Ovis aries: one gene and its partners. The protein of the gene in region 5 interacts with the protein of the main gene of each other region in a pairwise test. Links are inferred from orthologs where the notes say so. Each region holds a gene or a part of one and is shown on either strand. Other genes may lie near its edges.

Region 1 (6,249 bases), on a different chromosome or scaffold from region 5:
CTTTCCATCCTCAGCTGGGGCTTCCTCTGGTCCAGGAGGCCTTCCTCAACTGCTTTTCCCCACCTGGCAGGCTAGATCAGCTGTCAGTCATGCCCATATGTTCCCCTATCCCCCATCCCTACAGTTCTCAACACACTTGTGGCAGGATCTTCTCACTTGTTAGCCTCCACTGGAATTCTGTACACTCTTCCAAGCATAGACCAGCTCCCTGATCCTTATCCTGTCACTTCAGCGGTGTCCATAAATGTTCACCGTACGTCATAAGCCAGAAAACAGAATCCTTTCAGAAAACTCTACATGACATTCTCTCCTCTGATGGGGTGAATATGTGTACAGTGATTTTTGGAACTCACTTTGCATGGGGTGATTGCTGCAAAGTCAGGACTGCAGTGTATCTGAGAATGGGTGCTCCTTCCTAATCTGAGAGGCACCTAGGAATGCTTCTTTGTAAACCGCCAGACCTCATTAGCTTCCCATAATCCTTGATGGTGGCAATTTTTGCTCCCTATTTTCTGTTGTGCATCCGGAGCAGGTAGCAGTATGGTTGGGTGTGGGCAGAAGGCTATCAGGTGGGCCCTTATCAGTGCAGGCAACACTCAGCAACTACAATTTCAAACAAGGATGGGCCATACTTAGTTTTAGAAAACTCACTCTAGTAGCCAAGATCAGGGTGGCCTAAGGGGAACCATGTACCTGGTTCCCTTCCTCTACACTACTCCTCTTCTGAGGTCCTGGTACTCCCACCCTGGCCCTGGGTCACAGGCTTGCCAGCCTCCGTGCCACCTGCTCTGTGCCCCTTAGCTTCCCCATTTGCAGAGTCCTGCTCCTTCCCTCCAGTTTGGCCCTTACCCTGGCCACCCTATGAGGACTGTTCCTCCTTTACAGTTCACAAGTTTCCCAGTCCCCAAAGTCCCCTCACCCCATCCACTGACCTCTGAGATTTTCCCCAATGGGTCCAGCCTTCGTGCCTCACTTCTAGCTTTGCTAATAGAAACACTGGTCTGACAACTCTCCCATCATTTCACACCTTCAGACCTGCTGGAACCAGATCCAGAGGCTAGCTGGGGGAGACACCTCTGAAGAAGGTCACTGCCAACAAATCACAGGTCCTAGGGGCCCTCAGCATTGCACTCCCTTCCCTCCATGTATGACTCTGCCATTCTCTTCTGAGAAGACCCAGGAATGAATGCTCCTTTGTAAAACCACAGCTCTGACAGCCAGACCTCCTGAGTTTCCCATAATCCTTGATGGTGGCAATTTTTGTTCAAGTGGCTTGAACTCTGCTCCAGGCTCACCAGCCAGTCTTCTCCCCTCTGTCACTGACCTGCCAGGGCCAGAGGCCTGCACATGGCCATCTCCTCCCATGTCCCTCCTCGGCTTCTGGCTGCTGCTGCTGCTGCTGCTAAGTCGCTTCAGTCGTGTCCGACTCTGTGCGACCCCACAGACGGCAGCCCACCAGGCTCCCCCGTCCCTGGGATTCTCCAGACAAGAACACTGGAGTGGGTTGCCATTTCCTTCTCCAATGCATGAAAGTGAAAAGTGAAAGTGAAGTCGCTCAGTCGAGTCCGACTCTTCGCGACCCCATGGACTGCAGCTTTCCAGGCTCCTCCGTCCATGGGATTTTCCAGGCAAGAGTGATGGAGTGGGTTGCCATTGCTTCTGGCAGCAACCCTGAAACTGCTTCACAGTGAGCAAAGGAATCCAAGGTCCATTCCCCTCGTCTCCACGTCCTCGCCGCCTCCGCCTCCCAGTCCTGGACGCCAAGGCCGCGGCTTCCCCTCGCCCTGGCCCTCCCCTCATGGACCTTCTCCGCCTTCCTCCAGGCCGACTCGCCGCTGTCAGTCTGCACCTGCAAGCCCAGAGGCCCGGCTTTCGGTCCCGTCAGTACCCCTTTCCATCGCCTCCCAGCGCGGTGCTCGGCTGCCGCGCCGCGGGCACCGGTAAAGCGCAGTCGGCGCGCCGAGCCCGGCCTGCGTCATAAGGAAGCGGAGCGATCAGCTGCGCGGCCGCCAAGCGCCGCTCCCCGAAGACCTGGTCAACCAGCGCCGGGCTCGGCCCGCCTCCCCTCCGGAGCCGCCCGGCAGTAGCCCCAGCCCCGCGCGCGCGCGATTGGCCGCGCCCGCCCAGCTCTCCGCGCGCTGATTGGCCGGCGCGCGGGTCGGTCAGACCGGGCGCCGCGGCGGCGGCTGCAGCGGAGGAGAAGCAATCCAGACCGGAAGGGTCCTAGGCGCCCCGGCGCCCCTCACAGCCTTTGCGGCGGCGGCGACGGCGGCGGCGGGGCGGAGCGGAGCAGAGCGGGGCGGGGCGGCCAGGCGAGCCCGGGGCAGCGGAGCCGCGAGCAGCTAGCGCGCTGCGCCGCCAGTCCGCCCGCCTGCCCTCTCCCTCTGGCGCGGCGGCGGGGAGGCGAGGTGAGCCCGGCCGGCGGGTTAGGCCCAGCGGGGACTCTGGGACCGAGCCTCGCCGGGGAGGGGCGGCGGGAAGGCCGCGAGGCCAGGCTCCGCGGGGACAGGGGGGTGCGGAGCGGGAGGACCGGGTTCTGTGGGGTCTGCGGGGTGCTGGCGACCCCGGCCGCAGCCCCTCTTCCTCCAGGCTGCCGCAGTCACCCCCTTACGCCCGGCTGTCCGCGCCCCAGAGCTGCGGGCTCGCTCCCTGCTCTGGCCCCGGCAGACCTGCTGTAGGGTCTGTGGGCGCCCCCTCCCCCGCCCCGATTGTTTGGCACCCAGCTGCATACCTCCTCCCGGATGCTCAGAGCCTGGGATCTGATTCCTGCGACCTTGGCGAAGGCACTGATCCTTGCTGTTCCTCTGTTTTCCCCTCGGCAAAGTGGGGGAAATGTCTACCCTTTTGGACAGGATTGTTGTCAAGCTCTATGAATGTGTGTGAAAGCCCCTGGGCGGGAGCCCGCCCGGTGCACACTTGTGGAAAATGAGCGGGATACTGCTCCTTGCTGGCTTGAGTGTAGCAGAGTCCGCCCAGAGTCCCCCATCCTCATGCTCCCCAAGTGCCTTGTCATTGCATACTCAGTGCCCAGCAGTGCCTGAGCGGGCCCTGACCAGCTCACCCCCAACAAGTCCCCCAACCCGGAGCAGTGGTCTCCTAACCTACCCATCTTACTGGCCTTGAACATTCAGCCCTGTTTACCTCAGGACCTTTGCACTTGTATCCAGTGATTGGAGTTGCCTCCCGGATCTTTGCACAGCTGACTCCTTCTGGTCCTTCTCACATGTTCCAATTTACAGAATCCTTTCCTTGACCTCTCTTTCTCCTCCTTTAGTCTTTCTGTCTCATTACATTAATTTTCTTCCCAGTATCTGGTTTGAAACTATTCTGTTGATTCGCCTGTTTATTTTCTGTCTCTCCCATTAGGATTATAGCTTTCTGAAAACAGGTAGTTGTCTGATTTGTCCACTGCTTTATCCCCAGTGCTTAGAAAGCACACAGTAAGTATTCAGTAATATCAGTTAAGTGAGTAAGTGAGTGAATGAATGACCCTGCCAGCCTGTTGCCTCTGCTTTCTCTGTTTAGTGACTTCTGACTAACTTGTGAAACTTACATGCAGATGATAGGTTGCTTTAGTTTTGTGGAACATTTTAATGTCCTTGACCCTTTTATTTGGTAACTATCAGAACAAGCTGTAATATAAAATCTGACATTTTTATAATGTTTTCGCTCTAACTTCCTTCCTCGCATTCAGGACATATTGACTGAATTCTACATTATCCAGGTCAGCTTTCTGCTCGGCCCTGGGGACACAAAGGCAGTAGCAACAGGGTCCCTTCCTCCAGAGAGCCCAAGAGCCCAGTAGAGAAAGGAGACATGCAGACAGTGCTCGGACAGCTTGCTGTATAGCAGGGCTGTGCTGTGGAAACTTGGAGGAGGCGGTGGTGCTTGGCTGGTGCTGGAGTTGGCTTGAATGGTGATGAGAAACTTGTCAGGTCTAGGGGAAGACAAGACGTGGGGAAGGGCAGGGTGAAGGAAGAACTTCAGCCCAATCAGTTGAGTTCACTCGCTCAATCATGTCGCTGTTTGGGACCCCATGGACTGCAGCACACCAGGCTTCCTTGTCCATCACCAACTCCCAGGGCTTGCTTGAACTCATGTTCATCAAGTCGGTGATGCCATCCAACCATCTCGTCCTCTGTCATCCCCTTCTCCAATATTCAGCCCAATGTTGGGGTCAAAAACCAGCCTGTGGGGCCAGGTGTGAGAGATTAGAGTAGTGGAGACCCTGGAGAACCAGACACCACTTACCCAGCAATTTTTAGAAAGAAGCCAGAACTTGAGATTTGTATCTGCACTCTCTTCATGTTCAATTGTTGGCAGTAGCTTATTTTAAAATGTTTTCAGTGCTGTGAGCCAAGCAAAATGCAGACCTCATTCAGTTTTATTTCAGGATTGTCGGACTCCGGACTTCAAGGCAGGTTGTTTAGGAGGGAAGAGTTGCAGTGAGCTAGAAGGGTAGCCCACGACTAGGGCAGCTCGGCCCTGTTTGTCCAGGAACTCTCTTTTGGCACTGGAGCCCTGCGATAGCAGCTAGGAAGCCTGCTAGCCTCCACTTTCTACACAGGAGGAAGCAGAGGCTCCCAGGGTTTCGGCAGTCTGTTTTGTAGCAAGCAGCTGGAAAGTGAAATTTGAACCCAGGTCTCCCGCAGATCAGCATTCTTTCCTGAGTCCCTTAGCTCTGAGTATTCTCTTTGGCTCTTAGTTTGTTCTGGAAGAATAAAATCCAATCTAGATATCGTTTCCCTTCATTTATCCCTTTTTTTCCCCTTCAAGAGGATCCTACAGGGTTAAAAACAATCCTATTTTGGCATAGTCTGTCGCTGAAGAGCGTTCTTTTCCTGAGTTTCTTGAGGAGAATCCACTCCTGAGAACTTAACTTTTCAGGATGCCACTTTAAATAATTTGTTGACAGATTAAAATGTGTTTATTTGGCCTTCCTAAATAAATGTTAGAAGGTACACCTCAATTTGTCTATTTAAAATAAAATGTCTTAATTTTCTGGATAGAGAAAAGTGCCATATGAAGCAATTAATAGTGAGCAAACCAATTTATTTCATGATATATGAGGTAAAACAAAACCACATTTTTTCCTTAACATTGTTGATTTGGCAGTAGGAGGGCATGGCAGCTCACTCCAGTATTCTTGCCTGAAGAATCTCACGGGCAGAGGAGCCTGGCAGGCTTCAGTCCATAGGATCGCAAAGAGTCGGACACGACCGAAGTGACTAACACACGTGCCTGCACAGCTGTCTCTAATCTAGTTATACTTGGTTAAGAAGGTGACATTTTTACATGATTTTCCTTAAGAATTACTAAATTTGTATTTGCCCCTTTGTGATTGTATGAACTGGTTTCAACAACAGTCTTCGTTGTAACTGTTTATTACGAGATTTCAAACATGTAGGAAAGTAAACAGTGGTATCTAGCTTCAACTATCACTAACCGCTGGCCAACCTGGTTCACCCCTGCCCTCGTGCCTACAGCTCTCACACACCCTCCAGCACACACTGTGCTATTGTTTTCAAGCAAATCCTAACTATCATGTCATTTCACCCATAACTTTTTCAGTTTACGTCTGAAAATTTTTAAAAAATAAGAATTCTTTCAAACTTGGAAAAGCAGTAATTAGTCATTCTGTGATATCAAATAGCCAGCCAGCACTCAGATTTCCAGGTGTCTCATAAATTTTATAGTTCCTTTAATAGTTTCTTCCTTGGAATACAGATCCAGATAAGGACCATATATTGCGATTGGTTGATAATGTCTTTTAAAAGTCTTTTGATCTGTAGATCCCTCTTTATTTCTGTTTTTCTTTTCCTTGTAGTTTATTTGTTGAAGCGATAATATTTCTGTTATTGGGATCTTACTGATTGTACCTCTGCAGTGTAGTTTCTTGTGTTTCTCTGTATTTCTTGGAAGTTCGTAGTTGGATTTAGACAAGGTTTGGTTGGATCCATGGAGCCTTCTTAGGTGGGATGTGCGCTTCCTCTAGAGGCAAGTAGTTTTGATTGGCTCACACTATGATGTTAGCTACTGTTGATGCTCAGTACCTGGACCGTTTGATTCATTAAAAGGCCATATTATTTGGGGGGACAAGTTTGTGTATCTTTTGCACAGCAAGAATTCATTTTTTATAAAGTACTGTGGGTCTTTCAGGTTTTATATTGGCCTTTGGATTGCCAGTTAAATATTTTTAACTGGTGCCTCAAATCCTCTTTGGAAAATGTTGGGGTGTAAATTAATAGA
Region 2 (5,198 bases), on a different chromosome or scaffold from region 5:
GGGGGTGGGAAAAGAAATGTGTTTACTTTCATGATTTTCCCTTACGTCCCTCTTAACACTATTATAATCTCTCCACAAACAGGCAGTAATGGCTCAGAGTCCTCACCTTCATTGATAAACCCTCCCAAACAATTCACGTCTCACAGTCAGTCTGTGGGCAGCTGGTGAATAAGCTTGGAAGGCAGTGTGATGAAGTAGAACACTGGCCCAGGGTCTGTCACTAACTGAGAAAACTGAAAAATGCCTCTCTGGTGCTCTGCAAAATAAAGTGGTTATAATAGGTAGAATCTAAACATCTGCTTAGAGTTTTGAAGTTTATAACTGGTTCTCAACCAGGGACAATTTCATCCCTCAAGGTAGGGGTATCTGGCAGTGACTGGAGAACATTTCTGGTTGTCACAGCTCAGGGGATGCTCCTGGCATCTCATGGGTAGAGACCAGGGCTGCTGCTGAACATCTGACAATGTGGAGGACAGTCTTCCACAGTGGAGAATTATCTGGCTGAAAATGTTAAAAGTACGAGGTTGAGAAATCTTGATTTGTCCTGAAGTGACTAGAGTCACAGGGAGAGGGGGCAAAGAAGGACAGCAGTTCAAAAGGAGGAGGGTTCAACCCTGTTTCTAGATCATGAGGTATTCACCAGTGACATGTTTTCCAGCTTTTCTCCCTATAACCCATGACTTTTTCATTTCCCTTGGAATTTCAGGGCTATGTTTGAGCAGCTTTTTCACAAGAGCTTCCTTATCCTCAAAATGCCAAGCCCTGATGCAGTATGATCTCTACTATAAGAAAAGACAAGGATAAAAATATAAGCAGCTGCAAAGCAAGTAGAACTGGAAGGTGGGCAGCAGAGGCACATGGAGGCACACAACAGATGCCCATAACTCCAGTTCTATGAGTCAGTGTTTCTGATGTTACAACACAGGAATAATGCTCGTAGGAAGAGCAAGATGAGCTGTGCTGGGTGAGCACACGGCGAAAGAACCGATGTGGGAGCAGCAGCGTTAGAAGAGACGCAGGTTTGCAGCGGCAGATTCAAAGGCAAACGAAAGGGTTAAGCAATCGGTGCGTGTCATTCCACATTAAGTCACTGGGCAGTTATTGCAAATAGTTACCTGCAGTTTCCAGTGGGGGAGGCAAGCACACTCCAGTCAAGGGGTTTTGGAGAAACAGGTGCAATGAAGTCATGGTCAAACAATTTATTTACTGTAAACTTTAGACTTTGCTCAGAAAAACAACCAAAGCTGCCCCTCAAGTCCCTGCCTACAACACCCCGTTTGAGCAAATAAGAGGGGCGAGGAGAGTCCATGTTCACAGCGAAAGGTCCGAGAGACTCAATATCTTCCAGTCCAAGGGTGCAGGAAGGAAGGTCTCCTTCAGATACAAATTACCAGCAGCAATATATTACCCCTAATACTTGATCAATGAGGTAGATATGCAGGAAAAGTCATCAAAACATAGCAGCCCCAGGTTCTTTGAGACTGAAGCCCTTCAGACATAAACTTAACGAGTTCCAGGCAAAGAGGAACTGAACTGTACAAGAAACAGTTACTCAAATATATTTTGTCACAACTTAAAAAAATAAAAAATAAAAAGGCAGAAGGATATGTTTCCTCCTGCACATCTCTGTACAACTTTATTCTAAATTTATTACACTCAAGTTAAATAGTCTGTTTAGTGTTTTGTTGCAGGGAACCGGGGAGAAGGGGTGTCTTAAAAAGTAGAAAAACCTGCATTACAGCAGTGAGTCATTTGTACTACAATTCCTCCCTTGTGAATCAGTGCTATCACTGGGCACAGTACCTTGCTGGTTCACAAAGTTTTCGGTGCCTGGGGGGTCTTCACACAGCAGTTCACTGTCTTTCTCCTCCCCCAGGTGATATCCACTCTGTTCCCCCGTGTAGTCAGTCCTGTCATTGCTGGTGCTGGAGCAGCCATTCCCATAGGCCTTCAATGAAGACCTGCGCAGGCAGAGAAGCTCCTGGAAGGCAATCCTGAAATCTGGGCTCCGGCAGTAGATAAGGGGATTGAAAGCGGAGTTGATGTAGCCCAACCAGTTTAGAAGGATGTAAATTTCCTTAGGGATGAGGTTATCCTGGATCACGTGCACAATGTTGACAATGAAGAAGGGCAGCCAGCATAGGGTGAAAGTGCCCATGATAATGCCTAAAGTCTTGAGGGCTTTGTGTTCCTTCAAGTAGAACTTGGATGTCCTGCGTTGTCCTAGACCGCTCCGCCCATCCTGCTCCACTTGACTGACGTTTTGGGCATGGAAGCGGCCCTCAGATTTGTCGATCTTCTGGAGCTGCCTTTTGGCTACCTGGAACACCCTGGAGTAGACAAAGACCATGACCACCAGGGGAAGGTAGAAGGACACAATGGAGGAGGCAATGGCATAGGGTTGGTTCGTGAAGAAGTCACAGCAGGTTTCCTTAGCATAGCACTTGATAGCTTCCTTGTGGCTGGCCCGGTACCAGTGCATCTGAATGGGTAAGAAAGAGGTAAGGCCAGACACGATCCACACCATCAAAATGACCACCCGGGCCTTATTCTTGGTCAGCAGGCACTGATACTTGAAGGGTGACGTGATGGCAAAGTAGCGATCCACAGCGATCACGCACAGGGTCTCAATGCTGGCCGTGACGCACAACACGTCAATGGAAGTCCAAAACTCACACCAGAAGTTGCCAAAAGTCCACATTTTCATGAGGATGTGGCAGGCCCCAAAGGGCACCACTGCCAGGCCCATGACCAGGTCAGCACAGGCCAGGGAGGTGATGAAGTAGTTGGTGACCGTCTGCAGACGCTCAAACTTGGCAATGGCTGTGATGACTAGCACGTTTCCAAACACGATGGCCAGGACAATAAGCGACATGAGGATGCCCATGCCCACCACCCAGGCCTCGTCCCGTTCCAGCGTGCCGTCTTGGTCCGGCGCGTGGCTTGCGTTGGGCGCCAGCAAAAAGACGCTGCGGTTCCCGGGCTGCCCCATGGCGCGCAGGCTGGCAGGTGAGCGCACAGGCTGCCGGCGCACCAGCCGCCCTCAGCGAGCGGACCTCCGGCGGGGCGCTGCGGGCAGCAAGCGAGCACCTGGAAGACTCATTCAGCGGCCGTGGGTGGGTGCGGGTGTGGTAGGGGTGCGTGGTGCACTCAGCTCCGGGGGTACTCTGGACTCGCAGTGCCGGGCAGTTTCAGCCAGTTCCAGCTTGCGCTCTGGAGAAGCCGTCTCTGAGTGCGCGCTGTCCGTTATGTGACCAGGACTTTAGGGGAACTGCCCTCCCCGTGACGTGCTAGAACTTTCAACCAATAGAACGCGGGAAGCCCCAAAGGGGCGAGGCCCACGCCCTCTCCCGCCCCTTCCCTCCCCTCTCCTGCCTGCTCCTGGGGCTGGCCCGGGCGGGACCCAGCTGCTCTAGCAGGGCGGGTCGGCCACCATTCCCTCGGGGCTCCCTCGGCTGGCCCCGGAGGCTGAAGCCGGCTCTAGCGAGCTTACCAGCCAGCTAGAAGGTGCCGGTTCTTTGGTGGGCGCTACCTGTCTGCCTGGGGCGGCTGTGCGGCTTGAGGTCTCAGGGCAGATGGCAATACTCCGGCACTTCCTCGCATTAGATGAGCGTGCCCACCGAGACACGCACAGGCAGGCACATTGTACCCCGACATACATGCTCAGACTTATACGGAACCACAGCCACAGACACTCAGACACACCCATCCAGCGCACCAACGAGTGCTCAGGCACAGAAGCCGACTGGCACAATCACCCCTGTCCAGCACGATCGACATGGCCAGGAGCAAACCAGGAGCACCCAGAAGCATAAAGACACCGACATACAGACAAAAAGAAGTAAACAAACGGCATACAAACGCCCACTTGGAGGCAAGCAGTGTGCCACAGAGAAGGACTTCCCCATCCGGATATTCCAAACTCTTTACCCTTGCCCCCTGGACATCCCCCCCATCTTCCCCAATACACAGGTCTCATGGCATATTCCCTTTCAGACATTTGGCAAGACCACAGGTGGTGACTTTAACAGCAGCCAACTTCCTCAGCATGCTTGCTGTCCAGTACTTTTGGTGCCCTCCTTGGAAATTTGCAGGGATTGAGACCTAATTTTACTCTTGGGATTTCATTTGGAGCTGGGGTATACGTGTATGTGCTTGGGGATAGGAAGAGAAGGTTGTATGCTTTAATTCTTAATTCTAGGGAGTGTGGCATTGTTCCTTCCTTATCTGTTAAAATGAGAATATGTTGAAAATGAAATAATTTTCAAGTTCAACTTCTTCAATAATCCCTTTGCAACGAGAAAAATCTTCTGTTGGGTAGTTTGTTGATCTGTTGGGCTGAGCCGTATGAAATTGCCACTTTTCTGTAGTATCTGACTTTAAATAGATGACAATTTCATATGGCTCAGATTATAAGAAGGTGTTAACATTAAGAAATGTTTTGAAACCACAGAAAGCAAAAGATAACTTCTCTTAAAAAAACTAGAGTCTTTGTCCATGAAATACTATCCATTGCATCTGGCATATGAATTTACTGTTTAAAAAATTAATTGTCAGGGTTTGATTTCACATGTATCATTTGTGTCTTTGAAAAATGGAAAGTATTTCATGCAGTGTAACTGAACATATTTTCTAGATTACATAATAACATAACAATGGCTAACATTTATGGAACGTTCTGCTATGTGCTTTTCATGCATTATTCCATTTAATCCTTCCCACAGTCCCATGGTGTGTGTTGTTAGGGTGGGGTAGGGTATAACTATTTTTAGCTTAATTCACAAAGGGGTCTCAAAGAAGAAAATAACTTGCCCATGGGCACAAGACCAGGCAGTGCCAAAAGCAGGAGCTGAACCCAGTCCTGTTTGACTCTAAAATCCATCTTTTAATCCTTTCAATGTACTGTGTCACCACAGTGCAGAAAGGAATAGAGGATGGGGAAGAAGGACCGCAACTGGAATTGGAATACCAGGTTTCAAATTCTCATCTTAGAACTTTCTAGCTTATATTCCTTAGGCAAATAAAAAATGTGGAGTCTAATTTCCTCCGTATCTAAATGAGGAATAAAGTCACTTCCATTGTGCTGAATGAGAATCAGATGATATAATGACAAAGGTAATTATGATTTGCACTTAATAAATGCCACACAAATGAAGGTTATACATAAATTTATATAAATTACTTAGTAGTTTAGAAGA
Region 3 (6,176 bases), on a different chromosome or scaffold from region 5:
AAATAACTAAAGAAAACTTATAGAGGAAATTAGTAATCATTAACTCTCTTTAAAAGTACAGAATTATATCCATATAACTTTTATTACAGTATATTGTTATAATTATTCTATTAAAAAAGTACAGAACCAAATGTGTATATGTCAGTATTCTTACTCTGAAGTTAACTATGTAGCCAAAGTACTTTAAGTCATTGATCTAAATGAGATTTTAACATCACCTGATGAAGAACAAAGCAGCTTTGGTTATATGAAGAGAATAAGAAATCCCATAAAACTTGACCCAAACTGAATGGTTATTAATGCTATGATTTTAAATATTAAGGGCATGTAGAATTGGTACTTAGACTATGAAAAATAAAGCATACCTATTTCTTACCCATTTTTCCAATTTGTGTTAGAAAAGTAAATGGGCAACACAGTTTAAAATATTCTTGACTATAGGAAGGAAAATCAAATGATAACTGGAAGATTCTAGACACTTACTTCTAGTGTGTGTGTGTATATATATATATATATATATATATATATATAAATATTCTTTGTTAGTAAAATATTTTGAAAGAAATTTTGGTTTTCATAGTCAAGGAAATTTTTTCCCACAGTGATCATCTGCTATGAAGAGAAAGGATCAAAATCAGAAAACTTTTAATGTTAATACAACCACAGCTAAGATTCACTTGTCATGTTATGATTGTTCTAAACATATATTTTGTTTTCTAATTGTCAAGTTTGTCATTAAAATAACCAGCAAACAAAGCATCTGGCAAATTTATAACTCTGTAGATTTTTTTTTTTGCTGTGATGTATTATAGATGTATTTTAGAGCTTTAATAGGATAATAGTAGTAATTTGCCAAATCATTTGCCTATTACCTTAAATCCATAGAGATACTTCTAGATTTAAGATGGCTTTGTATATTAAGCCATTGAAAAGCTGATTTTTCATAGCTGAAATTCCTATTGTGATTAAAAATAAAAAATGTAAAACGATACCTAAATTTAGTGTACTGTTTTAATAGACACTAATGAGAAAAGAAACAAACCGTGTTATCCAATGACTTCAGACAATTTTGAAAGAGAAAATTTATAATCATTTTGAAGAAAATAATAGTACTTTCCAGTAGTGATGGGTTAAGAAGCTGGTTTTTCCAATTTGCTAGATAACAGGGGTAAGTGTTTGGTTACATTTTTTATACTTGGACATTTTGTTGCTCTGGCTCTGTATTTTTTTATTGCCACAGTCTGTCTTCAAAACAGCTTTTAATTTTTTATAACACTTGGATGTACTTCAAACTTCTAACTAAAATTTTTAATTTTTCAGACTGCTCTGAGAGGCTCTGGCATTGCTCAGTCATGACTGAGCAGGAAGAGGACTAAGTAAACTAGTGAGCTTGGGGCAAAAGACCGGGAGCCTGCATCAGGCAGCCAAAACATCCAAGTGTGATGGGTCTGGATCTTGGTCCCTGTATCAAATTTGAAAACAAAATACAGCAACTGTCAGCTGCATTAAAAGGACACTGTGAAAGCACAGATAAAACTATAAGAGACGTGAATCATGCATTTTAACTGTGAGTTTCAAACTCCTTTTCGAATGTGTGAATGTGTAACTCAGTCGTGTCCAACTCTTTGAGACCCCATGGACCGTATGTAGCCTGCCAGGGTCCTCTGTCCATGGAATTCTCTATGCAAGAATACTGGAGTGGGTTGCCATGCCCTTCTCCAGGGGATCTTCCTGACCCAGGGATGGAACCTAGGTCCCCTGCATAGCAGGCAGATTCTTTACTATTTGAGCTATCTGAGAAGCTCTCAAGTATTTTACCTGGGCTTTGGGTAAGCAGCAAATTTTCTTTCATTATTTTTCATCTAGCTCAGGACAAGAATTAATCATAGTAACAACAACAACAGTAATCAGCAGCAGCAGCAGAATAACCCCAAATTATATACCAGCACACACACACAACTCTTACTAAAAGTAGGAAAAGAAAAAACAAAGAAGAAACCTGAACAATTCACAAAGTCACAGTTTGAGCACTAAAGCAGAGTAAGAGGGGGATAGCAGAGATTTGAGCTCAAAACTCCTGGGATGCAGAGCATTGCCAAAGCAAGAGTGACTGGGAGACCCTTTATAAAACTTGTCTCCCTTTGGCTTCAGTGGAAGAAAACCAGCTTTCTTTTGGGTTGGATGATGGGACAGTTGATTCAGTTTAAGATCAAAGAAGAATCGAGCTAGAAATTGAGGCCTCATGATGGACACAAAAAACAAAGAAATTAGGAAGAAAAAAAAGGGAGCTGTAATAGAGTAGATAATGGACTAGATACTACTAATCATGAAAACTTTAGCAAAGTGTTGAGATCCAGCAACTTGGGGCCACTCCCTGATCCTTCAGCCAGGCTGTAGAAACTTCCAACTGTAATCTAGGGGATGGACACTTGGACCCAATGATTTTCCAGAGCAGATAATTTACCAGGAGAGCTATTTAGACAGTTTTGAGGAGCACAAACATGGGCTAAAAGGGTAATTGTTTTAGACTTTATTTTTTAAAGCAATAACTAGGAAACAAAAGGAATCAAGGAATTTTATCACTAGAGGGACCTGAGGTTTGAGTTGTGAAGTAACTCTAACAGCACATGGCCAGTTATGTGGAAGTCTCCATTCCCAGCTCTCTGTGCTTCCTTGCCCCTGCACTGTCTTCCAGATGGGTGTTGGAATCCATCAGTCTCCAGAGAGATTATCCATGTGGTGGGGCCTTGAGAGCTAGGGAAACACTAGCAGGCAACAAGGGAAACAGGCAGTTTCCTTTAAAGAAGACATATAAAGGTGTTACAGCTTATGCTAAGGAGAATAAACCTTGGAGACCCAGGGTGGTATAACTACCAAGAGAATCATGTTGGGGATGACAGCAACTTGAAGAGGAGATAGAGGTTGTTCAAAAAAGTTATAAAACAGAGCGGCGGGGTGCCAGATTTCCTCCCTGCCTCACTGTTACTCTCATCTAGGAACGACACTAGAAGTAGCCAGGTGGAAAATGTGATCCCAAGGGAAAGTGAGCACCCAAACTTTCACCAAGAAGACAGGGCTCCAGAGGGCCACTCGTGGGTGTTTGATTCTTAATTAAGCCAACAGCAAAGAAAGATCAGGTAAAGAGGCCCGCAATGTGCTCAATAGCTCAGGGCAGGAGACTCTTCTGGAGACAAAGCATCTGGCGTTGTGGGTAGATCAGGCTGGACATTTAACAGAACTGGAGAATGGGGTGCTAGGTAGAGGGGTGTATGAAGGGAAGGCGTCAGCAAGAGGTTCTGCTCGGTCTTGGAAGCAGAAGAACTTCTTCTAAAATCCCCCTCAGTGACAAACATGCTCTGGCCAGGGCTGTGGGGATTGGCGTGTGCGGAAAAGCTCCGTTTTCCTTCTCCCCAGTTAATTCGATGCGGACTCAGCATCCCGGGCCAAGGACCCAGCGTTATCATTTGAAGAGGGGAGGTGGGGAGGTGAACCTTGCAGGTGCCTGGCAGAGTGTGGGGAAGATCAAGTACTCGTTTAAACTGGCACAACTTTTAAAGGTACTTCCACCTCGAGGAGTAATATGCACAGATCACAGTTTAAAGACGCGAGTTAGCTAAAAAGCCTCGGGAAGAAAGTTTCCTTGGTTGCATCCCATCTCTGCAGATGCCTCACTTGTGATCCACAGAGTTTGGTCAAATCAGAATGAAACGTCGGGGGGGCATGCGGCAAACAAGATCAGACTGCTTCTTCCCACATCTGATTTGGGGAAGGTCCTCCACCTTCCAGTGGGTGCCGGGGAACCTTAGCTCGCTCTAGCCACCGTCTCCAAGAGCCTCCCGGCACCGCGCCCGCAGCTGACACCTTGGCACGAAACTGACACCCCCGCCCCAGCCCCCAAGCTGGCGGGGCAGTCCGCGCCACTCACCCGCGCTCACTCGGGACGCTGCGCCGGCATTGGGCCGAGCTGGCGGCAACGGTTCAGGGTGCGCCCTCACTCCCGGGGCTCGCTTGGGTTCCTCCTCATGGATCGCCGTCTCGGGTAGGTAGGCAGAGCTGCTAATTGCGCGTCTGCCCGGGCGCTCAGTCGCCTCAGGCCCTTGGCTGACTGGCGCTGGAATCGTCCTCTCTGAGGCAGCTCCAAATTTATAGCGAGGGGCGTTGCTGCTTCGAGGGTTCCAGGGGCGAGGCTGTGTTTTGCACTCTCTCCTCCTCCGCCCCGCCCGGGAGACCCTCTCGGCCCAACCCCCTTTCCTCTCCAGATGCTGACGGAAGAGGGATGATGCCACAGCCATCCCCGGTGTCACTTACTAGATCTGCGAGTACCTGGCACTGAACCCGGCATCGGGGGAGGGAGTGGAGAAAGGGGGGAGAGCCGAGGGTGCAGGACCAGCCATTTACACCAAGATCCGGGTTACTCCACTTTTTTTCTTTTAAAACTTGGGAAACTTTTAAGGATGAATTAGGGAACTTCTTTTTCTTCCCTGGATGTAGCTCAAACTTTGATAATACCATTGTTGATCAAAGATCGCTGCCGTAGATTGTAATTTCAGAGTTGTTACAAAGTGAAAGGGTGGACATTCATTTCCTTCTACTGGGGTATGTTGTTGGAGTTACATTTTAAAATATGTAAAAATTTTAAAAAATGATTAAATATTTAAGGAATAACTAATATAAATTCTTTATCGATTCTTCCGAAGAAGATGATCACTTTGCAACTCACGCTATAGGTCGGTATCACCATTATACCAAAACAAGATGAGACATGAGGAGAAAATCTCCCTGATGAATGTAGATAAAAATCCTCAGCAAAATATTAGCAAATAGATCTAGTTCAGTTCAGTTCAGTCGCTCAGTCGTGTCCGACTCTTTGCAATCCCATGAATCGCAGCTCGCCAGGCCTCCCTGTCCATCACCAACTCCCAGAGTTCACTCAGACTAGCTTCCATCGAGTCAGTGATGCCATCCAGCCATCTCATCCTCAGTCGTCCCGTTCTCCTCCTGTCCCCAATCCCTCCCAGCATCAAAGTCTTTTCCAATAGATCTAGTAACATATTAAAAGGATTATACACCATGTCCAAGTGAGATTTATCCGAGGAATGCAAGGTTGCTGGTAAGTCGCTTCAGTCCTGTCGGACTCTGTGCGACCCCATAGAGGGCAGCCCTCCAGGCTCCCCCGTCCCTGGGATTCTCCAGGCAAGAGTACTGGAGTGGGTTGCCATTTCCTTCTCCAATGCATGAAAGTGAAAAGTGAAAGTGAAGTCGCTCAGTCGTGTCTGACCCTCGGCGACCCCATGGACTGCAGCCTTCCAGGCTACTCCGTCCAGGGGTTTTCCAGGCAAGAATACTGGAGTGGGGTGCCATTGCCTTCTCCGGAATGCAAGGTTAGTTTATCAAAAATCAGTTGTTATAATATACCATATCAATAGAATAAAGGATAAAAGCCACAAGATAATCCTAATAAATTAAAAAGCATTTGACAAAATCTAACACTTTTTATGATAAAATCATTCAGCAAACTAGAATAGAAAATAATTTCTTCAGACTATGAAATCTATCTGTGAAAACTCACTAACATCATACTTAATGTTGAAAATAATGTTTTTGCATCTAAGATCAGGAAAACTGCAAAGTTCTTTGCTTTCCACATATCTATCAAACATTGTTCGAGAGGTTCCAGCTAGGGCAATTAGGCAAGAAAAAGAAATGAAAGGCATCCAGATTAGAAAGGAAATGAAACAATTTTTATGTGCAGATAGCATGGTCTTGTATTTAGAAAATCTTAAGGAATCAATTAAAAAGCTGTTAGTGCTAATAAACAAGTTCAGAAAGGCTTCATGATGCAAGAGCAGTATACAAAATCAGTTGTATTTCTGTATGTCAGCAATGAGCAATCAAAGAATACAATTAAGAAAAAACTGCATTCACCATAGATCAAAAATATTAAACTTTAGGAATAAATTTAATGAAAGGATGCAAACATTATATGCTAAAAACAGAAAATAATGTTGAAAGAAATTAAATTAGACCTAAATAAATGGAATGACATTCCATGTTCATGGGTTGGAAGACAATATTGTTAAAATAGAAATAATCTCCAAGTAATATACAGAGTAAACACAACTATATAAAAATCTGAACAAGTTGTCTTTGAAGAGATTAACAGGGTGATCCTAAAA
Region 4 (6,462 bases), on a different chromosome or scaffold from region 5:
TTCACGCTGCCAAATAATCCTGGCTTCTCCTCCCCTTCCACAGGGTGTGTGGTTTCAGGGGATTCTCTGCCTTGTGCCCTCTAGAAAGGATTGAACTCTTACTTAAAATACTCAGAAACCTCTTCAAAGAGGAGAACTGCTCATCAGAGGAGAAAAAGAGTTTCCAATTTGTAGCTGGCAAGGTAATGAACAAATCTGTTATGAAAATGGATAGACAACAGGAGATTTAATGTGGAAATGCTTGGTGTGCAGGGAGGCTTTATCTAGGAATTTGGTGGCCAAGTAGAAATTTTGGTGGTACTGTCTCTAAAATGTTTCCAAAATATTCTGAAACAGAATTTGGAGGGCTAAAGTCTCTATGTGTCTCAGGTTTGGAAAAGTGGCAGTATGACAGTGATGAAGGACATTGCCAGGGTTTGGATTTGAGACTGGCCTCATGACTAGCAAGGATGCTTTGAGACTTTGGGCAAGTTATTTACTTAACATTTCCTAGCCACAGCATCATCTTGCCATAAAAGACAGACAAGTAACCTTGCTCATAGGTGGTCAGATAAGTGAATTTCTAAACAGCACCTAGTACAGTGGAGTCAGGGCTGCTCCTGCTTTTCTTGTGGTGGTAATGGTGGTGGCAGCTTTTGCTTGGGCTATGGCCCGGGATGTGACCTGGGGTCACTTTCTTCCAAGGCTGAGTACCCAAGCATCCTCTACAAAGGGCCCAGTCTGGGAAAAGCTCTGTTCTCTCAGGATATAATTTCTGCTAGCTCAGTCACACAGTTCTTTACTTAACAAGTAACACATTTATAAATACACACCCCTCCATGTACCTATCAAAGAGCATAAAATCATCCTGAATGTCACCCTTCATATCACAGGCTCAGGACATGTCACACATCAGTCCCAGGAGGATGGTGCACCACCCTTTTCTCTGCAGTCACTGAACGCACCCCGTATCGACTCGTGTGCCACACTGTCTCTTGAGGTCATCGTTTCCACAAATCTCTCCATCTTGAAATACCATCAGGTCATGTGGAAGGATGCACTGTGAAGGTTATTGCTGTTGACCTCTTTTGGGGGACTCATAGGAGAATTCCTGTGCAGTCTTCCAAATTGGTGGTAGCTTTGTGTTTTAATGGACAATGGATCCATGCTACTGCATAAATGTTTCCTCAACAAAGGCTTAGGTCTCAATCTGTGGCCCTCGTGGAGTACATGCCTGGAACTTCTGTGAGCAGGTCAGCTATGAGAAGTACCCCTGGCTGCACTCCATGCCCACTGCTATGTGCCCCGTGCTCTTCTCTAGCAGACGGTGCTTTCCTGTGGCTGTTTTTTTACAAACCACTTTAAGTCCTTGCTTGGAGTGTTTGGAGGGGACTGAAGCCATGGCCTGCAGAATCTACACAGCCTTCTTCATCCAGGGGCTGGATGAGTTCAACAGGCTGAGTGGTCATCCTGATTCATTAAAATGAAGGAATAAACACAAATAACTCTAAATTTCCAGGAGCCCCAGGTTCCATGGACTTGCTGCCTGGGAAGGAAAGATGCAAGGTCTGCTCCTCCCCATAGGAAAGATCCTGCTCTAACTCCACTTATTTTAAGTTTGTGATTCCAGCTTAAATATCAGGGAGTCCAGAACTAAACCACCTGAATGTCACAGTGGCTCTTGTGAAGAAAAGGAGTCTGACTGTAGAGGGTGGAGGAGTCTGTCCAGGAGGAAGAGGAGCAGTAGGTTAGGGTGGGCTTTGCTGAAGGAATTTAGCTAAAAAGATCCTGCAGCCTGAGAAAGCCTAATTTCTTCCTGCCCAGTCCTTAGTGGGTTTCTCTGTCTTTCTCTTGCTTGAGTTACACCGTGGTGTCTCTGGGCGGATGGGCATCTAGCTAGTATTTATATTAAGCCTTTATTCTAAGCGCTTTGACTTTCTGAAGCGATTTACTTCATGGAACCCTGGCATACTCCTTCGGTGTCCACGCATTCATTCAACAAACATTTTTCCAAGGCTAGTCTCTGCCAGGAGTTGGGTGTCCTTGTTTCGTTTGAATTCGAGGGTGCTTGACGCGACCTGAAGGACCCTCGGGCTGGAGAGCGCATCTCAGAGGCCAGGCACCCACCCCAGCCACGAGGGCGCGGCTAACGAACGTCTTAGCTGCTAGGCCACTTTCGATCCCCACTGAGATCCCAGGGTGCTCAGAGGAGTTGGGTGCCGGAACAAAGCGGTGGTTTCCCCCCAGGCACCCTTATCTGGCCTTGGGCCTAGGGCTCAGCCAGTTTGCCTGGAGTTAGTACAAGTTTGCTCCGCAACTTGGAGGGAGAAAGAGGGGGAAAAGGCAACTTCGGCACAAAAGTGGCTCGAAGAAGGCTGGATCAGGGAGACCGCAGGCGCGTCCGCGGGGGACGCCCGGCTCGGCTCCTCACGGCCCCTCCTGGACACCGGGCTCCTGGGGCAGCCGCTGTCCGCCGCCCCTAGTCCTGCCGGCCGGCGCTCCTCGGGCGGGTTCCTCCTCGGCCAGGCGCGCCGTCCGCCCCTCCTCCCGGGCCCTCCTCCTGCAGCCCGGCCTCCCCGCGCCCCCGCCCCCGCCTCCGCCCCAGCGAGCCAGAAGTCCCGGTGGCTGGCGCAGCGCGCAGCCTCCGCCCCGGCTCGGTGCGCACGCCCGCGGCCCCACGCGAGCCCTGTCCGTCCCGCGCCGCCGTGTCCCGCGCCGCCGAGACCAGCGCACGGCGGCCGCTGCGTCCCGACCGAGTGCGGAGCCCGGCGCGATGCGACTCTCGCGGGCGGGCCGCGCGGCGCTCCTGGTGCTGCTGGCCGCGCACTTCCCGGCGAGTCTAGCGCTGGAGGAGAAGAAAGGTAAGGACGCCCGCGCCGCCGTCCTTCCCGTCCCGGGCGGCCGCGCTTTCCGCCGGGCTGCGGAGGAATGCGCGTCTCGGTTCCGGGCGGCGGGGCAGCCTCCGGCGCGGGGCGCGGGGCGCGGCGGGCCGCGGCGCCCGCAGCGCGGCTCTCCCCTCTGCTCTCCTGCCCTCCGCGGGCTGGACGCCCAGGCGAGCGCGTCCCAGCACGTGCGCCCACAGTCTGCCCGGCCCGGGGGCCGAGGGGGGACACGGAGTCCACCTCGCTCCCTCGGACCTCCAGGACCGGAGCGGCCCTCCGCGCCCGTCCCCGCACCCGCGCCCAGCCTCCGGTCAGGCTCCCGAGCCGGGGAGCCATCCTCCCAGAGCTGCCTTAACCTGGAGGCCCGGAAGCTCGTTCCGGGCACCGGCCACCTGTGCTGCGAGTCAGCGAGGGCCGAGGTACCCGCTGGCCCCAGGGGGCGGCTCGCACGGCGCCTCCACACCCGGGTGCGGCCCGAGCTGCCCCCGCCGTCCGCGCCCCTCCGGCGGTGGACTCTCCTGAGTGGTGGTTTCCCGGGACTCCCGAGACTCGCCCCCACCTGCAGCCCGTGGGCCGCGTGTCCCGGCTTCGAGGTGGATGGGACGGAGGGTGGGACAGGCCGTGGCCAAACAGCCGGGGCTTGGTGCGAACGCCCCAGAGGGGGGAACCCATCCTGGCTGGTTCTCCATGGTTTCAAAACAGGGCTCACAGCAAGCTTTCCTCCTCAAAATCCAGAAATTTTTGTGTCTGGGATGTGTTTTCTAGTTTTGAAGAATTTGACATTAAGCCAACCAAAATATTAAACTTAATTTAAATAAAAAAAATTGATGTCCGTGATTCACGTGTGCCAAATATCCAGACCCAACATGAGCGAGTCTGGCTTCGTGACTGCCGACCATAAACCCACTTGAAATGAGAAACATGCCTCAGAAGGTTTAATTGCCCAATTTCAAGATCGAGCAGCTTGGGTTCCGAGAGTCAGGTCTGTACTTGCTGTTGAGGTCATTGGCACAGGGTATGGTGCTGAGCGAGTTTGATGCGGGAGCGCTAAGGCATAAAGCAGTGGTTCCCAAACTTTGTTTCAAATTAGAATCACTTGGGATTTGAAACAGAACAAACGAAAAACGATGTCTGGCTCCCACCCCCAGACTTTGTCATTTCACTGGTCTGGGTTGAGACCTGATTGTATGAATTTTTAAAAGCTCTTCAGGTGATTCTGCTAGGCAGTCAAGTTTGGAAATCTCTGGCAACAGAGGTGAAATCTCTGGCAAGATTGCTGCCAATGTAAAAAGCTCTTTGGGAACATCTGGAGTTTTAACAATCTTGCAAAGGAAAGAGAATGATGATTTTATTTAAAAAAGAAATTAGTTTTTTCAATGAAAGTCTCTCCTCCTCTGAGTCCCAGGCTGTGGTCCAGCTCCTGAATCTGTTGACAACAGGATTCCCGCCTGAAAGCAGGTGGCAAGGGGACCCCATCCTTATTTTAAACCCTTGGAGTGCCTCCGAAGCATCACTTTTCTCATTTCAGAAATGTTCCCAGCTCTTTGCTGTTACCCTTCTGAACACTACTATTAATGCTTAAAGATTCTTTTCTAAGAAATATATAAATACCACTTAAATTGCCTGTTAGTCCCATGTTTGTTCAAAACAGAATGCTTCTGAATACGATAGTGAGAGTAGGTGAACAAATGTTAAAGTAACGTCAGAAGACCAAAATGTACGGGGCAAATTATTAACAGCAAGTGTTAAAGACCTGTGTTGATCAAATTTGGTAAGTTTTATTCTAGAACATTTACTCATTTTAGAGAGGCTTCTTTGGTTCTAAGATACAGTGTCCTTTGTTCTCACTGCACTTGGTCCTGTCGGACACCGTTTTAAATGTCCTTTTAATCTTTACATCAACCATACAAGTTGGCTCTTGTCATTCTATGTGGGGAAACCGAGGTACAAAGAAGTAAAGTGACTTTCCCGCAGCTTGCAAAAGGCAGATGTTTGTTTGTTTACCTGAATTTTTAAACTCTGGCCCTCTGACCCTGGAGCCCTTCCCTGGGTGCTGCCTGTGTTGATTTGTTGTTCTGGTTTTAGAGGAGCTCTGTCGGTGTGTGTGATGTAGGATGCTGGCAGAGGGAGGAAGAACACTGGGGATGAGGAAGCCTCCTGCCCATGGTCTGGACTCCTTCTCCCCGTGCTCAGGAGGCTCCTTTTGTGGAAGAACTCTGTCACAAAGTGAGCGATGAATGTGGAGATTGCTGGAGGAATGTGGAGCAAGCTCCTTGCTTTTGAAAAACAGAAAGGGGAAGGTGCTGCTCCAGAAGTGATCGTTCATGGTATTCTCAGCTAGGCCATCCGGCCCGGCCCCTCCTCAGATGATATCCTTGGCTCAGTAGATCTGGGCTGTATAAAAGAGAACAAATTTGGGGATTTTGAATCGTATCCAGGGTGAAGCCTCCCTTTCTTTAAGGAGACCAGAGGATGCCCACTCAGTACTGGCCTGAAGGCCAGGAGCCTGTGTCCTCATTCCCATGCTGTGTGAAGGTGAATCTGTCCCTTGCCAGCTCCAGGTTCTGAGACCTTGTTTCTCAATTCAATGAATGTTTATTGAGTGCATCGCATGTGCCAGACATTATGAGTTAAAAGGGGCCGTGGTTATCCTAACGGTTTGTATTGTTGTTTCCAGAGTGGTTCTTTAGGCCACTGATTTAAGTAGCATCTTGCTTTTCAGATTTGGAAAGGAGACCAGCATCTGGGTGTCTGTCATCTGTCCACACTATGTAGCTCCATCTAGCAGTGAATGGCTGATAGCTCCCATCGGCTTTGGACTGCCATTTCATGCTTCATATATTTAGTTTCATGGTCCATAAGTTTTCAAGAACTTATTCTGAAATTTGAAGACGCCAATTGCCATTCATTGTGCTCCATAATCAGACTCAGTCCCTGTGATGGCACTAACATGTTGTAAAATGTTCTTAGAGGTGGTGTCAGTAAAGAGGAAGAATTCTGCCCTGTTTAAAAGAAAATATTCTTTGTTTTTCCTTTGGTCCAAGCTCCAGAACCAGCAGCTAGTGTCTGAAACTTTCTTCATGGGAGTGGCAAGCCAGCTCTAACATTAAACTGATGATTATGGTGTTTAAGAGAAGATAGCCCACATTGGTGCCCCGAGCCCTGATATGGGGGCAGGATCTGTGATGGGGATACTCAACTTGTTAAAAGACACGTAGGAACTTTCCTGGCCCCTGCTATGTGACTTGCTATGAAAATTGTGTTTGTGTGTGTGTGCACGCTTTAATTTGGACATGCTCAGTCATGTCCGACTCTTTGCGACCCCGTGGACTGTAGCCCACCAGGCTTCTCTGTCCATGGGATTCTCCAGGCAAGAATACTGGAGTGGGTTGCCATTTCCTTCTCCAGGGGATCTTCCCCACCCAGGGATCAAACCCAGGTTTCCCGCATCAGAGGCAGACCTCTGAGTCACCAGGGAAGCCCTGCAATTTAAACAACAGTTAGAACTGGACATGTAACAACAGACTGGTTTGGAAAAGGAGTACGTCAAGGCTGTATCTTACTTAAATTATATGCAGCGTACATCATGAGAAACGCTGGA
Region 5 (2,980 bases):
GCCTGAAGCCTCAGCTTCTGTGTGACAGTGTAAGTACCAGGCTCCACAGAGATGTCAGTCGTGTAGCTTCTGCCTGCAGCTGTGGCCCCGCCAAGCCCCAGGAACAGACAGTGGGAGCAACCACACAGAGCAGTGGAAACAGCTCAGCCACAACAGGTCACCCCGTGGTCGTGTATGTTAGCCCCAACAGGGACGGGGCTGCCCTGCCCACCTCCCACAAGCATCTAGTCTGTGGGAAAGTGAGTTGTTATTCCCTCTGTAAATGAGAGAGTTTGCTCTGTGGTTTTATCAAACTGCCTTTGAGTCGGGACTGACCAAATCAAGTTTCTGTGTTCACCTTGGGGCACAGGTACAGTTCAGCCATTCCGTAAATGTTTATTGACAGCCTGTGGGCCAGGTGCCACGTGGGTGCAGAAAAGGGACTGAGTCTCACAGCTGACAGTCACGGATGAGCACACGATGCACTCCTTAAACGCCGCTCAGAAAACACACGCACTCCGGCCTATTAAAAGGTTTATTTTCTTCTTTATGCTCAGAAACAATGAAGTGGTCTTGCCCCCCAAAGGGTCTCATCCTGAAGGAATGGGAGGCAGAGAGAGTGACAGGAGGGGGTGTAGGTGTGAGGTTGAATGTGGGAGTGCTTTCCCCCTCTTTTCCTATTATCACTCCTCTTCGGCTCCCCCTCCAAAAAATTGAGGTGTGAACACAGCTTGCCACCCACTGGGGGACTGGGGAAGCACAGCTGAAGTCAAAAAATTAATGCCCATGTTCCACAAGAGCTGGGTCCAGTGCGTATCTGGTGGGGGGTGGGGGAGTGGGGGGGGGGCATTGGTCGAGGAAGCCGCTGGGTGGAGGGGAAGGGAAGAGGGACTGGGATCCCCCTCAGTGACAGTGGGGGTCTTGGTCCTGCCTCCACCTGCCCCCCCGCCCCTGCCATCCACTCCCTTCTTCCAGCCTCCCTTCCTAGCAGAACTGGTCGTCGTAGTCCTCATCCTTCAGCCCCTTGAGCCGCAGTCGGGCAAAGTCCTCAAACACAATGTCGTCGTCTGTGGCATAGCTTGGTGGTAGAGAGGAGGGGGTGAGGTGGGGGCCCTAGGCCTCCTCCACCTCCCAGTCCCCTCCCCTCCCAGAGACAGAGGCGCCGGCCAGAGCAGCCTTGGGACTGGAGATGTTTGCAGAAGGGACAGAGAAGGGGTGGTAGTTGGCAGCTCATTAGCCTAAGTCCTCTCAATTGGATGCTTCAACCATCCCGCCTCCCAAAGGGAAAAATAGGGTAGATCTGAATGTTACAGGAATCTGTCCAGAGAGTCAACGCTTGAAGGGGTGGGGCACTCTTACTTGGTATCGAATTCAATGAGGTTGGTGTCCACAGGGGCATCTGTTTCAGGAGCAGCTGAGGGGAGGAGAGCCGGGGGGTGGGTGGGTACTAAAAGGACCAGCTTTCCTCTCCGCTGGCCTTGCTTCAGACCCTCCCTTTGTGGGCTTGGGTGGGTGGCAGGCTCACCTGATTGGGGCCTGGGAAGGGCGATGTGATCATGGGGCTTGGGGTGCATGAGAACAAAAGGCAGCTCCACTGAGACGTCCCTGGGATTGGGGGAGAGGTGGCAAGAAGAGATGATAGTGCAGAGCCAGAGGAAACCCCTGTGCCCCACCCCACCCCCAGGCTCCCCCCAGCCCAGCACTCACCCGCCTCGAGATACCACCAGCTTCACCTTGACCCTGTAGGACACCAGGATCCCCAGCACCTCCTTGTTGGCACCCTCCTTCACGCTGCAGTTGGGGGAAGGGGTTGGACCAGAGCCCACTGCTCTGCCCACTGCCCACCCCGGGGCCCCCATGAGGAGGCGGACTACAGATACCAGCATGCTCATGTCACGTAAAGTACTCTGCTGTGGTCCTTCTCATCGCTCTCTCAGTAAAAGCCCAAGTCCTTACAGCCCAGCCACCCTGCACTGTCTTGCTCTCCATCAGCCCTCTGACCCCACTTCCAGCTCCCAGGCTGGCCTCCAAGGCTTGCTGTGTGTGGTCGTGTACAGAGGGGTGGGGAGGGGTGAAATCCAGCCCCTACTTTATGAAGCTGTTGCCCCTAGAGGGCCTGCCTCAGACACCCGGGTGGTCCACCTCAGGGTCTTTGTGCCTGCGGTACCCTCTGCCTGGAGCGCTCCTGCCCTGCACATCCACATGACATACTCCCTTGGCGTCTTCACCCAGAATCCACCTCTGGATCAGGCCTCCCCATCCCTTCTACCACCCTCCCCTTTATATCTCCCATGTCAGTCTTGCTTTTTCTCCTTAACACCTGTCACTAAACACACTACACATTCTGTCCTGTATCTGATTTGTCTGGCCTCCCTCTGAGAACAGGAGAGGTGTTTGGGATCTATTCAGTGATAGAGCCCTGGCCCCGGGGACAGAACCTGGCACACAGCCGCACAGAATGGGTGTCTAGTTTCCTGCGCTGCAGCCAGCCCCCCTCCCTGCCGACTCCCCCTCACATGGTGCTGGACGCCAGGTTGGTGTCCTCGTGCTTGAGCTTCCCATCCAGGGCGAGGCCGCGCTTCTCCCGGTTGTTGCTGAGCAGGGGGGTTATGGTGTACACCTTACAGAATGTGGAACTGGGTGACACCTGGTCACTGCAGGGTGGGGACAAGAGAGGGAGACTCTGAGGGGGCAGGCGGGGCAAGGGGGCAGCTCCCACCCCCAGCGGCCTCTCCCGCATCACCAGCCCCTCCTCTCTGTGGGCACGGGTCACAAGGAGTAGGTTTTGGCTCAAGCTGCTCAAGAAAACGGGCAGCTCAGAGCCACCCTCAGACTGGAGGGAATGCCCTTGTAAGTTGAGACAGTTTGAGAAGAACCACCCACGTCCCCATGTTCCCAGGGCCCACCCTTCCCAGGGCTGTTCTGCTACTCACTCTTGTTCAACCTGAGCCACGGGACACTTGTACTGGGCAGTGCTGAAGAGGCAGATGTCGGCGTACTG

The links.
Region 1: the proteins of ARRB2 (region 5) and MAPK9 interact in binary tests that used the Homo sapiens proteins (3 or more experiments, as listed by UniProt). The two-hybrid records come from large-scale screens. The link is inferred for Ovis aries from reciprocal best matches to the Homo sapiens genes ARRB2 and MAPK9.
Region 2: the proteins of ARRB2 (region 5) and ADRB2 interact in binary tests that used the Homo sapiens proteins (3 or more experiments, as listed by UniProt). The link is inferred for Ovis aries from reciprocal best matches to the Homo sapiens genes ARRB2 and ADRB2.
Region 3: the proteins of ARRB2 (region 5) and AGTR1 interact in a two-hybrid assay, tested with the Homo sapiens proteins (2 studies listed by BioGRID and IntAct, with this or other methods). The link is inferred for Ovis aries from reciprocal best matches to the Homo sapiens genes ARRB2 and AGTR1.
Region 4: the proteins of ARRB2 (region 5) and EGFR interact in a protein complementation assay, tested with the Homo sapiens proteins (3 studies listed by BioGRID and IntAct, with this or other methods). The link is inferred for Ovis aries from reciprocal best matches to the Homo sapiens genes ARRB2 and EGFR.

What each region holds. Positions count from the first base shown.
Region 1 is NC_056058.1:712,793-719,041, forward strand, and holds the start of MAPK9 (mitogen-activated protein kinase 9), read left to right. Parts: upstream 1-2,164; 5' UTR 2,165-2,408; intron 2,409-6,249. UniProt on the Homo sapiens protein: Serine/threonine-protein kinase involved in various processes such as cell proliferation, differentiation, migration, transformation and programmed cell death.
Region 2 is NC_056058.1:58,015,119-58,020,316, reverse strand, and holds ADRB2 (beta-2 adrenergic receptor), read right to left. Parts: upstream 2,993-5,198; coding exon 1,736-2,992; downstream 1-1,735. UniProt on the Homo sapiens protein: Beta-adrenergic receptors mediate the catecholamine-induced activation of adenylate cyclase through the action of G proteins. The beta-2-adrenergic receptor binds epinephrine with an approximately 30-fold greater affinity than it does norepinephrine.
Region 3 is NC_056054.1:240,268,363-240,274,538, forward strand, and holds the start of AGTR1 (type-1 angiotensin II receptor), read right to left. Parts: upstream 4,119-6,176; 5' UTR 3,926-4,118; intron 1-3,925. UniProt on the Homo sapiens protein: Receptor for angiotensin II, a vasoconstricting peptide, which acts as a key regulator of blood pressure and sodium retention by the kidney.
Region 4 is NC_056072.1:1,091,566-1,098,027, reverse strand, and holds the start of EGFR (epidermal growth factor receptor), read left to right. Parts: upstream 1-2,590; 5' UTR 2,591-2,752; coding exon 2,753-2,840; intron 2,841-3,498; exon of another isoform or gene 3,499-6,157; intron 6,158-6,462. UniProt on the Homo sapiens protein: Receptor tyrosine kinase binding ligands of the EGF family and activating several signaling cascades to convert extracellular cues into appropriate cellular responses.
Region 5 is NC_056064.1:26,515,312-26,518,291, forward strand, and holds the end of ARRB2 (beta-arrestin-2), read right to left. Parts: coding exon 2,913-2,980; intron 2,634-2,912; coding exon 2,496-2,633; intron 1,771-2,495; coding exon 1,687-1,770; intron 1,585-1,686; coding exon 1,505-1,584; intron 1,427-1,504; coding exon 1,339-1,426; intron 1,058-1,338; coding exon 964-1,057; 3' UTR 501-963; downstream 1-500. UniProt on the Homo sapiens protein: Functions in regulating agonist-mediated G-protein coupled receptor (GPCR) signaling by mediating both receptor desensitization and resensitization processes.